Schizosaccharomyces pombe: one gene and its partner. The protein of the gene in region 1 interacts with the protein of each later gene in a biochemical or structural test. Each region holds a gene or a part of one and is shown in the gene's direction. Other genes may lie near its edges.

Region 1 (3,711 bases):
ACGACTTATAACAGGTAAAAGTGAGAATCGTGGGTTTCTGTTTCAAATCGTAAACATCTTGAATAGTTCCGAATGTTATGTCCCATAAAGATAGTTGACTATCATGTTGAATTAACAAAAAATTATCCGAAATAAGCTCTATGTGTTCAATTTTCGATATGCTTTGGAAATGAAGAATTTTAATAAGCATATAAGATTTGGACTCATCATGAAGTGAGTATATGGATAGCCCTTCGAGGGAAATCGTATATATACTTGTAGAGTCTTTAGACATCAGAATGTGCGAAGGAGCCTGAACTTCCTTTAGAACCACAGCTCTCGTATTCACGAGACGTCTTTCAGAAACTGAAAAAGAATCTACATAATATTGTATAATTTTGTCGACATGTACACTATACAATAAATATACCATGGATGTGGATGAGGTGACATTAGCGCTAAAACTGGTAGACCCTGACTTTGGTACTGAAGAAGTTGTGTCGCTGTTCATCTCGATTTCCTTTGGATTATTATTAGTGCCACTTGCTTCGTTAGATGCTAATCGTACAGCATCAATAGGATTTGCTTGTGAAGGAACATACATTGATTGAAGCAATGTGGCTGATTCGTTAACGGAGGCACTCATGTGAACTTTGTCATCTTCGGGATCGAGAAACGCAATTTTTCCGTTTCGAAATACAATCACTAGTTGACCAGTTGACGAGATGAAATGAAGAGCAAATATTTGTTGGTTGGAAATATCACGATATACAACTTCGCTTTCCTCCTCGAGGTCGTTGAACTTCCAAAGAAGTATTTTCCATTCCCCATTACTTTTAAGAGAGGTGCAGGTCCAAATATAATGCCAATTTCCTTCTTTAATGTAGATGGGTGAGCAGGAAAACCGTGTCTTCTCAGGTAGAGGACATGAAGCGAATAAGCGTTCATCCTTCATATGATAAACTTCAATTCCCTGATTTTCCACTTGAACACATATATAATAAGGAGATTCAACTCCGTTATCCAAAGCAACCGTGCCAGCACTCTGAATTTCATGCTTTTTATTCGATTTATGAATATTCGAAATTTCGCTGAGAAACGATAGTTCACCAAAAGAAGCCATTTTTACTTTAAGTTTAAACACAATTTTCTGAAACTGTGAAAATTGGCAAAATAAGCGTTTCTGAGGTTCAAAAGTTTCACACAGCACTCGGTGGAGATGAAGAGAAGAAGTTACAAAAAAAAATAATTCCTACACAGCTTTGACCTCCACAAATACTAACGAAAATAGGAATTATTGATCAGTAAAATTAAATTAAAGTATTAGAAGCAATGGTTGTTCGACGCTTGTTTTCCACTGGAAAATTTGCGTTCTTACATTCGAGTGCGGTATATCTCGTTATGATACATAAAAACTTTTTGCTCTCAAGTGCTATAACAAAACAACTTTTATTATTTAGTTTTGTCAAATAAGAAAAACAGAATTTTTTTTGTAAACTACTCTTTGTACAACAATGCTACAAAAAATTCTCTTCTCGATTGGGTTTTTTTGCTTTGAGCTTTATTCATACTTGGACAACGTACCGATGTTTGATATCAATTGTGCCTTTATTCTGTGAACTTGAAACTCTAAATTTATTGTTTACCAATTTTTCTAATATAATAGGGATAATAAAACTTTTCTTTAATAAGTGAAAAAAACTGGGCAAGTCAAATTAGCATCGGCATACATGCTCTTGTTTACGTCCCATAATTTACAGATTTTATAGCTAATCCAAATTCAAAGTCCCAAATCACATCCAAAATCACTTTTCCAATAAGATTTAAGGGTCTTATTTTTTATCATTTTTTATGCTGATTTTTGATATTGTATTTAAATTTGCATATCCACTAACTTTTGGTAAATGAGTATGCTTTCTTTGTTATAAAAGTAGTGGGCAGGTCAGCATCAGAAGCATATATATTAACTACGCCCTTTACATTGCTATCCTAAGCAAAATTAATGGGAGATTCTGACGATTTTTATTGGAATTGGAACAATGAAGCAGTTTGCAATTGGATAGAACAGCTTGGTTTTCCCCATAAAGAAGCGTTTGAAGGTATGTATGCATAACAGAAGTTTAATTCAAAGAATTATTTGCTCGCCTCTCATTAATCCTTATTGAATGCTCTTTCTTTTATAGTCAATGGGGGATTGGGAACAATGAGTTTCTCCAAAGTTGGTTCAATTTCATGGCAATTTACTAAGAATTTCTAGACTACCATATTCTTGGAAAAGACATAGACCTGTTAAGTTCAAATGATCTTCGAGACATGGGAATTGAGAGTGTGGGCCATCGTATTGACATTTTATCAGCAATACAGTCAATGAAAAAGCAGCAGAAGGATAAACTGCAGCAAGAAAATAAGGATCAAGAACTGAAAAATATAGAAGAGTCTTACAAGAAGCTAGAGGAAAAAACCGAACATTTATCAGATGACAATGTCTCTTTAGAAAAACGTGTGGAATACTTGGAAACGGAAAACACTAAATTGGTAAAAACACTAAACTCTTTGAACTCGGAATTTCTTCAGTTACTAAGAAAAATTGCCATAAATGTTAAGGAAGGAAGACAGCTTACTACCGAAAATTCATCTGACACTAGTTCGATGACTCACCCTGTTCAGCCTTCACCATCTGTTCTTGGAAGTTTTGATTTAGAGGTTAATGATTCTTTGACAAACGCGGAGAAAAACAGAAAATTAAATGTGAACTTAACCTACAATGAAGTGTTATGCTCCATGTTGCAACGATACCGAATCGATCCAAACACTTGGATGAGCTATGATTTGCTTATAAACTACGATGATAAGGAGCATGCCATACCTATGGATGTAAAGCCACTTCAACTATTTCGAAACCTACAAAAGAGGGGAAAGTCGCCTTCTTTTGTTTTATCTCGACGCTCTTGTTAACTAAGCTTTTTAAAAGCCATCTATTTATGAATTGAATTTAATGAATAGTTTTCAATTTTTTTAATGACTCATTTGCAGATATTTAAGTTATTTTACTTACGCCTTGGTATGTTTATCAGTATTTAAAGATGGATTGATTTTTTTAGCCGTACCTCCTAATATTCTATCTAATATTCTATCTAATATGCTTAAAATATATATTTTTTTTTTTATTCATGGGGTATGCCCTAAGGTTTATTAATATGATATAAATGAATCTATGGAATGTATTAAGACAATGAAAATGAACCATGTAATATAATAACAGAAAAAATTAAACATTAAATTTTAACATGCTTCAACAGGAAATGAAATGACAAAGAAGGTTAACAGCCTAAAAAAAAAATTGAAGCGTGATTAGAAATTTTTAGAAAAAAATTGTGGTTTTTTAATGAATTTGAAACCAATGATATATGCAATATGTGAAGTTCGTAAATAAGGCGCAAAATTATGCCCCGAAACGTAGTTTACTCCGTCAATAAAATATTCATCATGTTGTACTACGCTTATTTTTGTAAGCTATGTATTAACAATTTCAGACAATGCAACATGCGTTGGGTTGCTTGGAGTACACGGTGGTATACCGAAATTTGGAAGGAGACAAGTAACTCATGTTAGACAAGCTTTGTAGAAAAACACGCATTTTTGGCTGAAACCAAATTAGTTCCTTTTCGCTTGATTCGGAAGATGAATAAAAATTTGGCTGGGGTTTTGATCCCGTATGCCTATTAACAAATT
Region 2 (3,761 bases), on another chromosome or scaffold:
CAAGTTAAGGAGCTTTTTGTGAAATCCATAGGACCTTGCAAACGCGTTTCCTTGGCTTACGGTCCCAACGGTCGTTCGAAAGGTATTGCAACTATCATTTTTTCTCGTCCTGGTGATGCCACTCGAGCTTATGAACAGTATGAGGGTCGTTTGGTTGATGGCACTAGAAAAATGAAGGTTGAGATAATCCTTGATCCTAGTCGTCAATTGAATTCTTTGGCTGCACGTGTAAGTCCTGCCAGCAACGCTAGCGCCACTGCTAGCAAGAATGGCGCCAAATCTTCCAAGCGGAAGACTACACGCCGCCGTAGAACTCCTAATCGTCCTAAAAAATCCGCCGAAGAGCTCGACAAGGAGATGGATGATTATTTTGGATCAAATGAGAAGGAGTAACTTTAATAATTTGAAGATTCTACTATATATACATATATTTTGAAGATGTCAAATGCTTCTTGGTATTAATAACGACCTATACAACATACTCCCTCAGTTAAATAATATTGGCAATATAATGCTGTTTCGAATGGCAGTTCTTGAAGTTGTTTTTGTGTTTTGGGTCTTTCGTAATGGATTTGGAGAAGTGAGCTGAACCAGTTCTTGTTAGTATATATGGTGTGTATTGGGTCATATTGCCATTATGCCATTATTTCAAAGAATTTCATTAAATTTTTTATTTATATCTCTTTTTTGATAGACATATATGTTTCATTGACATCGAACGAATTTGGTTACTTATTTCTTTTTCGGTGGTTAACGTTGGGTTGGAGGTTTTGACTTTTGCTAACTTTTGACATATCTGTTGATTTGTAGTATGCAAGCTTAAACGCTACCAAGAAGCTAAGCTTTGAGTCGAGTTCATTATTAGCATATCTGTTCACCTGTTATGTTTGCAACTTTATCAGCTCTTGTGCAGAAATCCTTTATGGTTGATAAGCGCTCCCTTCTTGTTTAATACAAAAGCAAAACCTATGTAGACAGTGGTTAAAAGAGGTGGATAATGGTAGCTTCGGCTACTGTTACTTTATTTAATCTAAGTTACTGTACAAGGCAGCTGTTTTGATCATCATGTTGCTAAACTATACTGGGTTGAGCTTACCGACAGGGTTTATTATTGCATGTTTGCTGAAAGTCAAAGCTTCCATACCCCAACTTGACTGTGTTTATTATGTTCATGATGGTTTTTGGTTCACGTCACACTTATTCCAAGTCTTGTTTTACTATATGTGGCACGGCTTGTTTGGATGAGGAATTTCTATTCGTAAAATCATCGCGTTCGATGGCTCTATTTCATCTTTGTCAAATTGTACATGACAGAACTGGCTTCATTCCTTCCTTTGTATGTAAACCACATTTATAGAACTTTTCCACGATTGCATTTTAAACTCGCTGATTGATGAATTACGCGCAATGCATTCTTTTGAAACTTTTAAACCCTAGTCACTTCCATTCCCGTTTTTTTTGCTTCCGACGTTTATTATTATTTGTAAATTATTGTTATGGTTGAATTGCCGACCGTATCTCGAAATTTGTTTTGGTAAACATTGCTTGGTTTTATGTTCGAACCATTGTCACATCAAACAATTTAAATTGAAGTCCCACACATATATTTTTGGCACTTATAATTTTGATTTTTTTGAAAGATCTGTACGATCCGTCGTGATTGTGTTACAAACCAAAAATCGCTTTCAGAATGCGCATTTGCGGGTTGCTAATTTTAGTGCGCGATTCTTGCCGTCCTCTGAAACCGATTGAAACATTGAAATTGTTAAAACAGTACTTTACGTTCGTACCTTAAACCAGTAGTATCTGAACGGTGGTTAACGACATTTGTATTGCAGATAAAGAGAAAGATTATTATTCACTTGCTACACATGGTTTATACGAAAGTTTTAGATTTTAATATCTGATTACAATTTCTCGTCGATATTTAGACTCCTTGTGGAACTCGTATATGTACGTAAGTGTTATTTAATAGATATCTGAATCTGTGCCGGGTGAGAATTGCAATACCTATATAAACAAGCAGCCTTTACGAATTTTTTGGCAGCTTCATTTTGGTAATGAGATTTAGTGAAACTAATATCGGTTATAAAGTGTATAGTTATATTGTTACGTCAAAGAGCACGAGACTAAGGGAGGCAGGTTAAACGTAAATGCTACCAACTTTGAACTTAGAAGTTATACGTTGTACAACCACTTTCCTGCATTTATGGAATATTATACCTCGAAGGAGGTAGCAGAATGGTTGAAAAGTATCGGATTGGAGAAGTATATCGAACAATTTTCACAAAATAACATTGAAGGACGACACCTAAATCATTTAACCTTGCCTTTACTGAAAGACCTAGGCATTGAAAACACCGCCAAAGGCAAACAATTTTTAAAACAAAGAGACTATTTACGAGAGTTTCCACGTCCATGTATACTGAGGTTTATTGCCTGTAACGGGCAAACTCGAGCAGTTCAATCACGAGGAGATTACCAGAAAACACTCGCTATTGCTTTGAAAAAGTTTAGCCTTGAAGATGCTTCAAAATTCATTGTATGCGTTTCACAGAGTAGTCGAATTAAGCTGATTACTGAAGAAGAATTTAAACAAATTTGTTTTAATTCATCTTCACCGGAACGCGACAGGTTAATTATTGTGCCAAAAGAAAAGCCTTGTCCATCGTTTGAAGACCTCCGCCGTTCTTGGGAGATTGAATTGGCTCAACCGGCAGCATTATCATCACAGTCCTCCCTTTCTCCTAAACTTTCCTCTGTTCTTCCCACGAGCACTCAGAAACGAAGTGTCCGCTCAAATAATGCGAAACCATTTGAATCCTACCAGCGACCTCCTAGCGAGCTTATTAATTCTAGAATTTCCGATTTTTTCCCCGATCATCAACCAAAGCTACTGGAAAAAACAATATCAAACTCTCTTCGTAGAAACCTTAGCATACGTACGTCTCAAGGGCACAATCTTGGTAATTTTGGTCAAGAAATTTTGCCAAGAAGCTCTCGGCGGGCTCGCCCTTCCGAATTGGTTTGTCCTCTTTCCTCTCTGAGGATTTCTGTTGCTGAAGATGTTAACCGACTTCCTAGGATTGATAGGGGATTTGATCCTCCACTTACTGTATCTTCTACTCAGCGTATTTCTAGACCACCATCGCTTCAAAAATCCATAACCATGGTTGGTGTGGAACCTTTATACCAGTCCAACGGAAATGAAAAATCGTCGAAGTATAATGTTTTTTCAGAAAGCGCGCATGGCAACCATCAAGTACTTTCCTTTTCACCTGGTTCATCCCCATCATTTATTGAGCAACCATCCCCAATTTCTCCAACTTCCACTACAAGTGAGGACACAAATACACTTGAAGAGGACACTGATGATCAGTCTATCAAATGGATACGTGGTGCGTTAATAGGTTCAGGATCGTTTGGACAAGTTTATCTCGGTATGAATGCATCTAGTGGTGAGTTGATGGCTGTTAAGCAAGTGATCTTAGATTCTGTTTCTGAATCAAAAGACCGCCATGCCAAACTTTTAGATGCATTAGCGGGTGAAATTGCTCTTCTACAGGAGTTGTCTCATGAGCATATTGTCCAATATCTCGGTTCTAACTTAAATTCGGACCACTTGAACATTTTTTTGGAATATGTTCCTGGGGGGTCGGTTGCCGGATTGCTTACAATGTATGGAAGCTTTGAGGAAACGCTAGTCAAGAACTTTATTAAGCAAACCCTTAAAGGCTTAGAATACCTTCATTCACGCGGCA

Evidence for each region. The genes of interacting proteins can lie anywhere in the genome.
Region 2: the proteins of ste4 (region 1) and byr2 form a complex in vitro, tested with the Schizosaccharomyces pombe proteins (3 studies listed by BioGRID).

The regions. Positions count from the first base shown.
Region 1 is NC_003424.3:1,294,781-1,298,491, reverse strand, and holds ste4 (MAPK cascade adaptor protein Ste4), read left to right. Parts: upstream 1-1,948; 5' UTR 1,949-1,981; coding exon 1,982-2,078; intron 2,079-2,236; coding exon 2,237-2,934; 3' UTR 2,935-3,176; downstream 3,177-3,711. Other genes in the region: protein Utp8, read right to left, coding at 1-1,102; SPOM_SPAC1565.03 (uncharacterized protein), read right to left, coding at 3,509-3,711. UniProt on the Schizosaccharomyces pombe protein: Essential for mating and meiosis.
Region 2 is NC_003423.3:1,740,745-1,744,505, reverse strand, and holds the start of byr2 (MAP kinase kinase kinase Byr2), read left to right. Parts: upstream 1-2,161; 5' UTR 2,162-2,209; coding exon 2,210-3,761. Other genes in the region: RNA-binding protein Mlo3, read left to right, coding at 1-393. UniProt on the Schizosaccharomyces pombe protein: Serine/threonine protein kinase involved in conjugation and sporulation. It is thought that it phosphorylates the byr1 protein kinase which itself phosphorylate the spk1 kinase.